Callithrix jacchus: one gene and its partner. The protein of the gene in region 2 interacts with the protein of the main gene of each other region in a biochemical or structural test. Links are inferred from orthologs where the notes say so. Each region holds a gene or a part of one and is shown on either strand. Other genes may lie near its edges.

Region 1 (7,757 bases), about 38 Mb from region 2:
ATCTTCAATATTCAGCTGGAAGATGAAGGCATCTATGAATGTGAGGCTGAGAACATTAGAGGAAAGGATAAACATCAAGCAAGAATTTATGTTCAAGGTAGATGTTTTTAATTTTGTATAAATTTCAACAGTATCTTATTTAGATTCATTTCCATACTTGAAAAACTACTATGTAATGATTAATATTTTTTAAAACAGTGATGTATGTTACCATCATGGGGAAAGATAAAATATTTCTCATATGTCTAATGCAGTCACAACTATGAGTTATAGAAGTTACAAACTTATTACCAATGGAACCATAGGTAATAGCAATGGATTGACACAAGTGTTATTGGTAATTTTCAGAATATACAATTAATGTAGTTTGCTTACTTGTTTCATCACTGTCTTTTTCAGTATCTTTTTATTTATATAATTTGTGTGTTATGACTTAGTTTAAGTCAGTAGTTTGCAAACTTAAGCATGCATCAAAATCATATGGAGGGCTTGTCAAAACACAGACAGCTTGGCCCCACTCTCAGAATTTCTTATTCAGAGGTCTGTTGGGGGTCATCAAATTGTATTTTTAACAAATTCCTAAGAGATGCCGATACTATTGGCCCTGGAGTCACACTTCGAGAACCACTGGTCTAAGGAATCATTTTTCTTTGAGAAAATTGTCTTGGCACAAGTCTTTGATTTTCATGCATTAAAATAAACTTACATTTGGGAAGACAGATTTTTTTTAAGGCCACATTGGAAACACTCCAGACTGAAATAATCTCTATAGTGTTCCACAACATGAACCTGCAGGTCACACAGAATAAACATTGAGGGCTTACACAAGATTATTCATTTTTAATTCTGGCTACTGTCCCATTTCACTGCCTCCTGTCTCTCCCAAAAAGGAATTAAAATTTTGACAGATACACCCATACTCTCTAAAAGTGTTGTCACCATCTCCAGTTTTTCTTCTCTCTTAAATGCACTCCAACTTGATTTGCATCTCTACCTCTCCACAGAAACCTTTCTTTCCATGACCACCAACTTCCATATTGCTGAAGCCCATGTTCAATTCTCAGTTGTACTTTGTTTAATCTAACATAAGTGGTTGCCACAGTTGGTCCCTCCCTTCTTCGTTATTTACTTTCTGTGCTTTTTGACTGGGACCCGCTCTGTTATGAATTTCCTTGTATAATCTTTCATTCTCCATTTATGTTTCCTCCTTACTCCATACCTTTCTACCATCGGTGTGATCAGGGTTCCATCTGTGAACCTCATCTCCATTTCAGTCACTCCCTTTAGGATCCCATTCATGATCATGGCTTTAGACACACTCTACCCTGAACACTGTAACCCAGACATTTATCCTGAACCTCAGACTTGTATATCCAATGCCACAGTAATGTTAACGTGATACATATCAAGTATGCATGAAATAGCCTCCTGAAAGGAAGAAAAGTAGTTAAGAGCTTTAAAACTTTTGAAATAAATCCATCACTTTCTACCAGGTTTCTAAAGCTTATAGACATGTTTTTATTCAACATATTAAGAAAACTACACCCAGGCTCTCAGCAGAGTAGAATTTTGAACTGTTCAATATCTAAAGCCTGAGAAGAACCAAGGTGCCAGAGCAGGTATTTATAGCAGGTAATTTAAGAGAAATATTTCTTCTTTACTAATACAGCATACTCAGTATTATCTTTAGGTCTGATCACATCACTCGAAAGTTACATCATTAAGCCATATATAGAATGTATCAAGCCAATTCAATTATTCAGTATAAAATGTAATAGCAAATGTCTGTGTTACCTATGTGAGACCAAGACAGAAAAGGTGCTGATATTCCTGTATTATGTATTGCTAAGATTGTATACAAAGTAAAGCCTCTCTCAATTAACATGAATGTATCCACCAATATTTAAAAAAAATCTCTTTATGTTATGGACAGATATAATGATGAGTGAAAAATTGTACTAAATAAGACTATATATGCTATAAAATATGTATATAGGTGTACATATGTCTACATATATTATATACATTATAATGTGTAATATTGATGGTATTTGGTGAGATTATAAAAATGTTTTCTAGTTTTTAAATTTCTGGTATTTTATTACTTGTTAAATGCCTTATATAAGATGTATATATTGCTTTTGCCATAAACTTAATACAAGTTCCCATTTTCAAAGAAAGTTATTTTCCACTCAGGATTCTTTCTTCCTACTTCCATTTTATTTTATATTAATTTATTTATCTGCATCTATTTGGATTAGATAACTGAAGTAATCAAAAAGACCATCAAACTGTTCATTTTCTTGTTCTCTAGAAATATGATTTTCTTAGGAATATTTTTAGCATTTTCTCATTTTTATGGGTGTTTCTTTAGATATCAAGTAGATCAGATTAAAGAATGAGACTGAGATCAATTTTACTCATGCATGGATTTCACCAATCATGGCTACTATATGTAGTTTCTAATATGGAAAGAGTATATTTAAGTGTCCAGGTAATTTTCTAACACCACAGTAAGATGTTACAGTGGCCACTAGCTAAATTACATCAAAATGAAGATAATATATACTTGAAGGAGTGGGAAAAAATCTGAATCTTTATCCAAAAGGTTAAGAGATGGTGCCATATTGAATTGAGACATAATTCTTTAAAACCTCAATTGTTATTTTGACAGACTTGAAAGATTTGTTATGAGCAGAAAAAAAATATTTTAGTACTAATTATAACTCAGCTTTTCAACAAAACATGATTTACAAATGGAAAAATAATGACTGAGTTATAGTTACCTCCTTTTAGAGTAATATAGGATTTGCATAGGTTAAACCTAACAAAGAAAAGGCCTATGCAAGTACAATTTTGATGGTTCAAATACTGAATTTGGGATACCTATAATATCTGATGTATTCTGCAGAATAAGGTTTACTAATGTAATATTTATACTCTGGAGGTTATAATGGATCTTGAGACTTGCATTTAAAATGTACAATGTTTCTTACTTTTTAGCATTCCCTGAGTGGGTAGAACATATCAATGACACAGAGGTGGACATAGGCAGCGATCTCTACTGGCCTTGTGTGGCCACAGGGAAGCCCATCCCTACCATCCGATGGTTGAAAAATGGATATGCGGTATGTACGTTCATGTACTTTGCTGTTCCTGAGTCCCTGTTCAAGCAATGTTTCAGGGTGGTCCTGGGATAAATTTAGCAGGAGAATCAATAGAGAAAGAGTACTTGGGCCCTGAAATATAAAAGCTTCCTAAAAAAGATAAAAACTGAACATAAAGTATCTTCTTTCAGTTTAAACAACTTTCTGTAATCTTACTCTACCTTCTTTCTCTCTCTCCTTCTTTTTTCCTTTGTTCCACTTTTCCACCCTCTTCCTACTCATCCATCTCCAATACCTGATATTGTCCTCTTTTTCTTGCCACTATTTTCCTGTACCCCACAGAGACAGAGGTAAGAGTGAAGCTCTAAGTCCTACCTTTGGCCCTGGGGACAAGTAGCAGCAGTGGGATTCTTCTCTACCTTCCCACTGTAATCTCCCAGCTGGTCCAAGAGGGGAAAAGGTGGACTCTCAGCTCTGTAGGATGAATAGAACAAGAGCCTTTGGGCATGGTAAGTGGGTTTCCTTTCCCATGCCACGAAAATCCCACTCAGTTCATCTTAGGTAACAGTGGGGGCAGATGAACATAATGTATCTACATGAAAAGACAAACAAGCCCAAACCTAAGTGAAAGTATTACTATTACAGTTCATTGAGAATATGTTTAACTTTTATTCTTTTCAGTATCATAAAGGGGAATTGAGACTATATGACGTGACTTTTGAAAATGCTGGAATGTATCAGTGCATAGCTGAAAACACACATGGAGCCATTTATGCAAATGCTGAGTTGAAGATCTTAGGTCAGTATCATTTCTAATTTCTGTTAAACATTCATCAAGAAGGTGACATTTAAAAAAGATGATGGAGTATCCATGGATCACATTTGATTTCACATTACGTTCTTTAATGTCCAATATTAAAAACTTTTAAAATGCGGTGGGGAATGAAATGATATGGTTTTTCCTTTCACTGAAGAACATTTAAGCAGGGAGGAAGTAACGCTTTAAACTTTTCTTATGCTAGTTGAAAATTCCAACTACATACAAATTTCTATTGAATTAAATTGCATCATTTTATTTTTAGTTAAGAAGCTGAAGTGTATAATAAATTTGAAGGAACATGGAATATAATTGTTTTGGTATTTTTTTAAATGATAAAGCACAATTTACACATGCCAATTTTGACAACAAGTCTTATCCTCTCATATGCCTGGACAGCTGAACACTGCCTGCAGAATCACATAACATTGAAGACTGATGCTAAAACACTGCATGTGATCCAGCCTCAGATGAGTATTTGGTCATTTTTGGAACATTCTCAGTCCCTGGGTCTCATGCCCTACAGTTGCTATTCAGAACTTTTAGGACATTCTGCAAGTCCCTTACTGCACCCGGACTCTGGCTTTTATATTGTATTCTTGTGCTCCATGAAAATTGAAATCGTTTGTCATAAAGTATTTCAACTTCCCATCCACTCAAAGCTGTCTCTTTACTACATTTGCCTTTTCAATACTCTTTATCTGGAGAAGAAAGAATCTCTCCTAAGCAAACATCAAACAGTTATTTTACCTCTCTGCACTATATTCATTCCTTTTCATTTTTCTTGATACTTGATATCAACAGCTGTTCATTCTCCTGTGTATGTGTATGTGCTCTGTGTGTGTGTGTGTGTGTGTGTGTGTGTGTGTGTGTGTCTGTGTCTGAAAACATATCCACCAGTTGCCTCTTTCTGGTCCTGTATTATTCTCAGGCTTTCTTATCTCTTTCTTTGGTGATTCTGAGCCATAAGACCTCACAGACCACTTCTTCTCTATCTCCTTCATTGTCACCTTTTCACCCTCTCCTCTGTCTGGCTAGAAATCTTGCTCTATCCCAGCATTCCATTTCTCTGATCCATTTCATTCCCTTTTCCATTTCCCTTTATGTATCCTACATTATTATGCCTGGTTTTTATTTTTATTTTTAAAATTTCTAGTGAATTTTTTCTGCATCTCCTATTACTTACTAGTGATCCCATAATTTATATCTCTGACCCAGATAGTTATCCTTAGCTTCAATCTCAATATAAATACTTCCTAGAAGCAATATTCATTTGGATAATCCCACAGAGAATCCAAACTTAGCATGTCTGCAGCTGAATTCTTTTTTAATATCTCCCACCCACACTCACATCTCCTCCTCAAAGATTCTTTGTTCTGAAGAATGGCAGAGTTTATCATGTCCCTTCCCCATCCAGTACATCTGCTAATCTTCTGCAATTCACACCAGAGATATCTCCAAGGTGTTTTATTATGACTACTTTATGTATATTCACTACAACTACTTTACAATTGTCTATTTTGTTTTGAGACAGTCTCTCTCTATCAAGGGTTTTAGTGTCAATTAATTTGTAGGGATACCAGTGTTTTGAAGAAATATAATCCTATTATAATCTATAATTTTAATATATATATTTAATAAAATTGAATTTAATGTGATTTACAATAATTTCTGATATAAATTATGATTTATTATAATTTAATAGTAGTGTATATGTTATTATAATCCTATTAAAATATCCTATTAATTTTTTTAAATGTTTTTGAAGCAATATGTTGTGTTACACAAAATGCTTATTGAACCTACACAGAATATCCAGTACTATGTTAGGTATACAACATAGGTTGGTTGTTTACTAATTTATGTATTGCCAGTTATCCCTTTACCGAGCTAAAATGAAATGGTGTGATCTCAGTTCACTGCAATTTCCACCTCCTGTGCTCAAGCCATCCTCCCACCTCAGCCTCCAAAGTAGCTGAGACAACAGGCGCACTTCACCACACCCAGCAAAATGCTTTATTTTTTGTTGAGATGGAGGTTCTCCATGTTGCTAAGGCTGGTCTAGAACTCCTGAGTTAAGTGGTCTACCCATTTTGGCCTCCCAAAATGTTGGCATTGCAGGCATGAGCCACTGTGCCCAGCCCAAAAGTCTTACTGTATTATGTCCTTTTCATGTTGTTTGAAAGAGTTGTCACTAGGTCAAGTCATATTTTAAGTAGTGAATTCAGGAAGTCAGGCTTTTTCTTCTAGCATTAGTTGTTGAAAAGATAAAGCAAGACTCAATGCGGCCACTTTTTTTCGTGCTGCACCCAAAGAATACTCTTCAAAACATTGGTATCCCTACAGATTGACGGACACAAAAAGAAAATGATAGGAAATGAGAGAATTATAGAGAAGTAAATAAAACTAGTCTCAATAAGTTAAGGCCATTTTAATTTTTTTGTTTTTGAGACGGAGTTTTGCTCTTGTTGCCCAGGCTAGAGTGCAATGGCACATTCTCGGCTCACTGCAACCTCCGCCTCCTGGGGTCAAGCAATTCTCCTGCCTCAGCCTCCCAGGTAGCTGGGATTACAGGCATGTGCCACCACGTCTGGCTAATTTTTTGTATTTTTAGCAGAGACAGGGTTTCACCACATTGGCCAGGATGGTTTCAGTCTCTTGACCTTGTGATCCACCCGCCTCAGCCTCCCAAAGTGCCAGGATTACAGGCATGAGCCACCACACCCAGCCAGGCCATCTTAATTTTAACATTCCAATCCACTTATTATAATGCTGAAGATCATACTCTATTTCTTCCTCCCTAAAGCCTAAATTTCCTGGTAATATATTTACTCTAGGTTCTTGGATATCAAGAAAGCATTGCAAGCTCAGATATCTTTGGTAAAAAAGAATATAAAATCATTTTCACTCAGAGAAGTCAGTTTGAATTCTGTCCCAAATGTAAATTTTATTTTCTGTTAAAGTTCATATCTTAGTATATTACCAAAAACAAATATAACAATTCCTCAGCTCAGACTGAAAAATTTCTATATATTTCGGTTAGAATTGTCAAGTCTTTTAATGACTGTTAATGTAATAACTAGCAAACAGAACAATTTGATCCTCCCCAGATCAATAGCCCTGAACATGTTTAAATTTGTCTCAGTCATTCTCGTTTATTATACTCTTATGCACAGTGCTTCTCTCTCCCTCTCTTTTCCGGGGTTATTTAGTTAATTCATGTGTTCATCCAGCAAATATTTATTGAGCACTTATTCTACAGCAGATGCTATTCTTTTAATAGGTTCATATATTACAATAAAGAACCAAAGACACAAGATATGCATCATACCTTCATCTTAATTGAGAGGAAGGATATCACCTTATATTTTGCCACTTCTAAAACATATATAGGAACATAGTCTAGATTCTGTTGTTAGAAATGCAAATATTAGATAAATCTGAAGTCATTTAAAGGACCACATCAAATCAACTATTTCATTAACACCTAAACTGATTCAAGGAAAATCCTTATTTTCCATCTGAATTTTTGTTTTTAAAATATAATCCTATTAAATTTTCTTTTATGTTTTCAAAGCAATATGTCATGTCACACAAAATGTTTATTGAGACTACACAAAACACCCAGAAGTGCGTTAGGTGTACAGCATGGGTTGTTGCTTACTACTTTATTGCCAGTTATCAAAATTTAGACTAACAAAACAATGGAATAGAATGAATCTTTGCCACAGAAGGTGTCTTCCCCAGAGCGTCAGCAGCAGTGGCCATACCAAGGAGCACATTAGAAGTGCAGAATCCCATGCTCACCCCAGACCTACTGAATGGACACTTTA
Region 2 (7,757 bases):
GGCAGAAAATTAATAGGGCATTTTCTCCTTCAACTCTTCAGGAATGAGGTAGGCTTGAGGGCTTGCTCACTGCAACTTGAGGAAGATCAGCTCTTCCTTATTTCTACTCTTTCTTGGCTAATCAGTTATAATGCTTTCATTTCCTCAAAGAAATGGAACACAGGAAGCCCTTGAACTGCTATCACAAGCAAGCAGCTTTATTACCTATTGATTTTCTCTAGGTCAGGTTTGGTCTGGCTCATGTTTGTAAACTAAAATTGTAGAGTGTCCCAGAGTTAGGGTTCAGATACTACCACTGCTGTTGTGCAGATCTGGTAGCTTTATGATTTCAGGATTCCAACCTCAAAGCATTCCCAGAAAATTAAGTGAATGAGAATTTAGTATACGACCAATAATTTTATTGCCAAAGGTAAGGAAAATATTTAACATAAAAAACTGGACCCTTGTACATGAAGGCAAGAGAATCAGCATGTGAAAGGTAGCATGTGAGGTCTATTTTTGTATTGCTGGACATCTGCTAAATGGTTTAATATTATTTTCACATGTCGTTTTGGGCTTTCTTCTGAGAGGTAATTACAAAATTAATCAAAGACCTTTCCAGATAAAACTGGTTTCAAAATGTCTGCATGCTGTGTCCCTTTTAGTATTTAAAAGTGAAATTGGATGGGCGCAGTAGCTCACGCTTATAATCCCAGCACTTTGGGAGGCCAGGGTGGGCTGATCACCTGAGGCCAACATGGTGAAACCCCGTCTCTCCTAAAAACACAAAATTTAGCCAGGCATGGTGGGTGGGTATCTTTAATCTCAGCTACTCAGGAAGCTGAGGCAGGAGAATCACTTGAACCTGGGAGACGGAGTTTGCAGTGAGCCAAGATTGCACCACTGTGCTCCAGACTGGGCGACAGAGCAAGATGATGTCTCAAAAAAATAAAAAAAGGGAAATTATGGTCATCTCTTTGATAATTTGGATACTGAAAGGACTATGAGATTATCCTCATGGGTATAAAAGATAATATGAATAGTAGATAAAAATTAAATTTGATTGGGAAAATGAACATATTCAACTGGAAGGAGTGGGGTGAGTAATGAAACACAGGGACTCAGCTTTAAGGGATGGAGAATTACTTAGGAAAAATATGTGCAAGCCCAGATAAGAGAGGTGAGTCTTTGAAAATTCTGATTCAAGAGCTGAACAATTGGCTGCTTTCCAGAGAACAACAAAATGATAATACAAAATTGACTTAATGAGATGAGATTAAAGGAGTTAATTATAAAGAACTTGGAAAAGTAATTATTAAGATGCTAGATGGGACTCTCCCAAGATTTGATAGCTCGAAAGCACTTTGAAGCCTTGATGATTGAAGTGTACTGCACAGGTGCACAGACAGGATGTCCACCCAGACAGGAAATGAAGTGTTTACCAAGACACAACATATGATGTAATTAAATGAAAATACATCCAATAGAGCTGAATGTCAAGGAAAACTTTTTTGTCACCTAATTTAATAAATAGATCAATTATGTATTTAGTTTTCCTGGGAGCAGGAGAGGATGGTGAAATATTAGTTGCTAAGGAGGTTTAAAATTGGGTGTAGGGTAGGAATAAATATTTCCTGGAGTAGACTAAAAGAACCGACCATGTTTTCCTGTCACGTCCATTTACATAATTCTTATACTACCTTGATGTTGCCAGGGTATGTGAGTGTTATTTACTATTACAGATGTATAGGTTTTTTTGTGATTTTAATTCCTGGTTTGTCCAATTAATTGCTCTGTCTTCTAGATCCAGAGGTTTGCTGTTGAAGTAGCATTAGCACTTGCCAGTGTGTGACCTGTGGAAGGTGACCACTGTCTAATCCAGTCAGTTATCCCATTCCCTTGATGAGGCCCTCTTTTAAGCTCAATTCAAGGTAGTAACAATAGTCCTAACTTTATGAGGATTCTCTTTATGTGAGTAGAACTGCATAGATTCTGGAACAGTGTCTAGTAGGTTGCAGGCACCTACTAAAAGTTTGCTGAGTGAATGAAAAGTCAAAAATGAATGTATCCTTCCAGGCATCAATGTGCTTTGCGTCAAGCAATACTAGTGTAAAATTCTCTTTTGTTGTATTTTTGCTTTTTCTTTTCAATATAGGAAAGGTGATTTCTCATAGATGCTGCACCTTGTAAATCTGACCTCTATTTTCTCGCTGGTGGTACATCTGCTGCACTTATGCATACATTGTTCCTTTTCATTTCCAGAAGATCCGCTTAGCTCCCTGATACAGAATCAGAGCCTAGACTGTCATTTCACAAGGGCATTGAGCACAATGAAACTGTGGAACTTTGAAACTTATTATTATGCTTCACATTTTTGTAAACTTCAAATAACCCTGGAAATTTTCCAGATTGGGTATAGAGTTATTTAACTATAAATAACTCTTTTAGGTATAGTCAATGATTTTCAATTATTATGCCAATTACATTCATTGTATTACTTAGCGGACTTTATGGTAGGTTACAGAAATACATACTTTGAAAAGAAATGTACTCTTTCTGCAAATGAAGCTGTGCCATCAACAAACAAACTCGACCTCTAATTCCCAAGTTTATTACAGAAAAATCTGTAGCATGAAAAAGGCCAACATCTCCAGCTCATCTTCTCAGGTATCTATGAAGAGTCCATACAAATGCCTTTCAGATTTTCCCCGGGAATGCTCTCAGAACTGACCTTGATGAAGGGAATGCCCACTTTCTGATTCACTGGAATTTGTTGTAGTCAAAGTAAGGCACAAATATCGAAGATAAACTTGGTACAGTATGTAGTGCCTTTAGCTATTATATGCAACTTTAGGTGACTACTTGACATTTTGACGTCATTGATTTACTAAAGTTTTGAGAATTTTATTAACGACCACTGTTTTCGTTCATTCTGTTTTTTTAAATTTAAAATATATTATTGTAGTCATTTCTGTGAAAATAATGGCATTAAGTCTTTTAATCAGGGGCACGATCTGTTACCATAATATTCTTTTAATGGGAAACCAAGTAGAAATGGATAATTGTGACTTTTCCAGGAATGGAGACTATGGAAAATGAGACAATATAAATACATTACAGTATGGGTGTGCATGTTCACACTCCACACCATGAATGCGGTAAAAGAATCTCTAATCACTATAGTTAGTGCTTTGCATGTTGTTTCTAGTCTGGGTATAGCTGGCATCTTCTTAACAAAAGGAATTCATCACTTCTGTTTGGAATTATTCTCTATCAACCAGAACCCTCAACCCTGCATCCTAGGCTTGGACTGCAAGTTGCATGATCCCAGACCCCTTTGGCTTCAATCCCTGGCAGGAGAAGGGAGAGAGAACAACTAGTTCAGACACAACCATCTGGTTCAGCTTTGGTACTGCTTCATTAATTCTTCTATCTCCCTCTAATCCTATTTTTGACTGTTACATTTGTCCTAGTAGCATGTTAGGACATGCCTGTTGGCTATCGAGATTCATGGGACAGCAACGCAACAAAGCTAGCCATAGTATTTGCTCTCTCTAGCCTTGCCCTTTATCCTGTCCAGTGAATATCAAAACAGGTAGAAAACATGCCTAAGGGATTGTCTCTGCCACCACCTCCATATGCATTTAACCAGCAGTCCTATCATACAGGTTGAATTAGTTTATGTAGAACAAGTCATGAACACTTTAGTGTGGAAAAATAGAATTATATAAAGCTTAATATTAAACATTATGAAAAACATATTTACAGAAGAAACTACAAAATACAACTATGTACAATAATATGTTACCTTTAAATTATATAAAATTTTAAACATTCTCCAGATTAATAAATTATACATAGTATCAACAGAAATAGCTGGCACCTCTATAGGGCATGAAGCAAGTTTTTATAAACAAATCACACAGTGAATAATTTTTATCCAGGAGCTCTTCAGGTACATTCTTAATGCCTTGAATAGACTGGATCTGAAAGGAAGAACACTGAAATTAGAGGCAGCAGCAGGGTGTGTCATAGTGGTTTATGAAAATTATCAATGCAAAAGACCGGCAGAAATGAATAAAGCTCAACATGGTCTAAGGTGAGAACATTCCTATGGGGACCAGGTCATTCCAATTAGAAACACAGATTATTAGACTTGGAAGGGACTAATAATTCTAGCCCATCTCCTCTGTTTTTATGGATGAAGCCATAGGCCCAGAGAGGCAGAGTAACTTACCCACGTTACACAGCTTGTTAATGCTAGTTAGTTCAAGAGTTTGGACCTGAATCTTAGCCTTCAGTGCCTGGTGGTTAACTTTTTCTATACCATAGTTAGCTTCTTTCAGGGGTGCCCAAGATTACTAAGATTCTCAGACAAGTCAAAACAAGACAAAGGAACCTCCCAGATCCCTCAGAACTTGCTCTATCCTGAAGCTTCTTAAGGAATCTCCAATTCAAAAACCTTAAATGACTATACAGATAAATTAGGGGGTAATTATTTATCATACAAAAGATTATCTGATTTACAAAGGACTCCTCTAAATAGTAGCTCTTTATTTGTGCTTTGTAGATTGTTAACTCATTAATATACTGGCTACGCTTGATGAAACAGAGAACTAAGTAAAAGGTTAGGAGACAGCCGGGCGAGGTGGCTCACGCCTGTAATCCCAGCACTTTGGGAGGCCGAGGCGGGTGGATCACGAGGTCAAGAGATTGAGACCATCTCGGTCAACATGGTGAAACCCCGTCTCTACTAAAAATACAAAAAATTAGCTGGGCACGGTGGCGCATGCCTGTAATCCCAGCTACTCAGGAGGCTGAGGCAGGAGAATTGCCTGAACCCGGGAGGCGGAGGTTGCAGTGAGCCGAGATCACGCCATTGCACTCCAGCCTGGGTAACAGGGGCGAAACTCCGTCTCAAAAAAAAAAAAAAAAAAAAAAAAAAAGGAGGTTAGGAGACACTGAAGATCATTTACAAATGGAGATAAGAGCGTGTGAAATAATGTCTGTCAAAGAAAGATTATCTGATTTATAGAGAGAGAACAGTCCACATGGCAAGGAATTGCTGGAATTACAAGCTTGAGCCACTGCGTCCAGTTAGAATCTTTTTCTTTTTCTTTGAGACAGGATCTTGCTCTGTCACCCAGAGTGGAGTGCAGTGGTGTGAACTCAGCTCACTGCAGCCTTGACCTCCCAAGCCCAAGTGATCCTCTCCCTCAGCCTTCCAAGTAGCTGGGACTACAGAGGATGTCTGGCTAATTTTTTTTTTTTTAATTTTTTGTAGAGACGGGGTCTTGTTATGTTGCCCAGGCTGGTTTCAAACTCTTAGGCTCAAGTGATCCTCCTGCCTCAGACTCCCAAAATGCTGCAATGTGAGCCTCTGTGCCTGGCCATACTGACCATATCTTAATGAAGGAACTCGGAAGTTAGTAAAGTAAGTGCCTACCTCTGTGATACTCTGGATTCACATTTTCGTAGATTGGAAACAAGGGGTTTTCTTGTTCACTCCGTAGTTTCCTTGCTCTGAGGACATCTCTTACACACTGATGCAGGTAGACATACTGACACTGTGGAAAAAAAGAGACATGTCAGAGGAGGGCCTGTTCACATGCAGAAGAAAGATGAGGCACTCTCACAAAATACTGACAGTGATGGGATTGTATATAGTTAGCAAGTTTCTTGGTCATCATTTTACTAACGGTCTCTGATAAATAAAACAGTGACTGTCTTTTATTACCACTGAAAAGAGAACAATGGTAATGGGCAGAGAGGTGGCATTTTTCATTCTTTTAATATTTATGTATATATATGTGGTGTGTTCTGTGAGCACCTATAACTGTGTCTAGTACATAGTAGGTCTTGCACAAATTCAGTAGATGAACGAATGCCAAACGCTACTATGTAGTTTACATACATTATCTCGTTTAATGATTTCGACAACCTTGTGAAGTAAGTGTAATGATCAGTATAAACTAAGACTCAAAAGTTGAGTAACTTCTCCAAGGTCACACAGCTAAGAAATTGGGCCCTGGGATTTGTTCTTGGAGATGTGACCTCAAATTTCATGTCTTTTTCACTATACCAGTTTTCATAGATGAATCCCAATTTCATTGCATAACTGAATGAGAAAATCATTTCACTGCATACTCTGCTGCTTTGTTTTCTTTATTCTGGGAATACAGTGGGAAAAAAAAGAGGTATGAACAAGAAACGCTGCTGGACTGTTAGTTCTTTGAGTGCAAGGTCAGTGTCTTATCCATCTCTGCTCTCTCAGCATCTGAGTCTGCCACATGGAAGAATCTTGAAGATGCTGGCTGACTGCAGAGAACTACAGGGGTTACAGAGTGAGGACAGACCCACCTGTCAGCTATTTGAGAATTTACTACTTTTGAAATATAAATGAATATAGGAGTCAGTGCTTTGGTGACCATAAAGACCTCCACTGACCACTGTGTCTCAGCCACAGGCAGCCAAGCTTGTGCATTGGGCCCCCTTCCTTATACTCCCTGAGCTCTCTTATAAGGAAATAGATGTCTGTGAAACCTTCCCTTGCTGATATAGCAACTGCTCAGAGGGAGTTGTGAGCAGTGAAGAAGACTGGGCTCTCAGCAGCCTCTAGCCAGCCTAGGCTGAGCCATCAGGCTTCTTGGGATCCCAGTTTTCCCGTTTATTAAACAAGGAGGCAGTGGTCTCTTATAGCTAACAGCCTTTGTCCATTAAAAGATACAGGTTGATGTCAGTCAGATAGATATTGGAAAATATTTCCAAACCTCGTGTTTAAAGCAATCAGTGCAGTCAGTCAAAGTATTTTAGAGGTTTGAGATACAAAGTAGAACAATTCAATCTTTCCTCATTAACAATCCTACCAAGTAAACAGGTACTTATTTTTATGGATTGGCACTAGATACTGTCCCTGATTGAAAGCCAGCCTGGTCATCTATCCATGGGACTATATAAGGTAGGTCTGGTATAATCAATAGATAAGAACATTTAATTTTTTTTTTAAGAGACAGGGTCTTGTTCTGTCACCTAAGTTGGAGTACAGTGACACAGTCATAGTTCACTGCAGCTTTGAACTCCCGATCTTAAGTGATTCTCACACCTTAGCCTCCTGAGTAGCTGGGATTACAGGTGTGCACCATCAGGCCTGGACAAATTTTTTAAAAAGTTTTTTAGAGATGGGGTCTTGCTCTGTTGCCCATGCTGGTTTGAAACTCTTGGCCTCAAGCCATCCTCCTGCCTTGGTCTCCCAAAGTGCTAGGATTACACTGTGCCCAGCCTAGATAAGGACATTTTAAACAACCAAATCAATAAAAAGTAAGACCTGCAATAATATTGATAACTGTTCTCTGCTTTTCTGCTCACAGACATTTGTCATTATGAATGTTATACACAATCTCAATACTATTGAAAGTCTGAGAAAAGTATTCTCCAGAGAATGGTTGTTAGTATAAAGCAGTCTCTCTTTGCTAACTTAAAAGGATCCACCAAATTATAGACTGACACCTCCCTGTTTTCTCCCACCCAAAGCGTAATTCATATTTTCAATTCTACTAGGATATTAAATTACTTTGGAACCTCAGCTGTGAATGAACTCTAGTACATGTGTGCTGTGGCCTATTAATGAATTCTTTATCAATGATTCACCATGGGCTTTGAAACTAGTTAATATCCATTAATTTGCCTTGCCTTAAATATAGATTCTTCTTTTCCCAATAGAATGTCCCTTTGAAAATGATTAGTATCAAAATGATGAGATTGTTAATGTGCTTCTCATT

Evidence for each region. The genes of interacting proteins can lie anywhere in the genome.
Region 1: the proteins of PTPRB (region 2) and CNTN1 form a complex in vitro, tested with the Homo sapiens proteins (2 studies listed by BioGRID). The link is inferred for Callithrix jacchus from reciprocal best matches to the Homo sapiens genes PTPRB and CNTN1.

What each region holds. Positions count from the first base shown.
Region 1 is NC_133510.1:34,752,869-34,760,625, reverse strand, and holds part of CNTN1 (contactin-1), read left to right. Parts: coding exon 1-97; intron 98-3,003; coding exon 3,004-3,128; intron 3,129-3,788; coding exon 3,789-3,906; intron 3,907-7,757. UniProt on the Homo sapiens protein: Contactins mediate cell surface interactions during nervous system development.
Region 2 is NC_133510.1:73,039,931-73,047,687, forward strand, and holds the end of PTPRB (receptor-type tyrosine-protein phosphatase beta), read right to left. Parts: intron 5,547-7,757; coding exon 5,426-5,546; intron 3,966-5,425; coding exon 3,943-3,965; 3' UTR 2,571-3,942; downstream 1-2,570. UniProt on the Homo sapiens protein: Plays an important role in blood vessel remodeling and angiogenesis. Not necessary for the initial formation of blood vessels, but is essential for their maintenance and remodeling. Can induce dephosphorylation of TEK/TIE2, CDH5/VE-cadherin and KDR/VEGFR-2.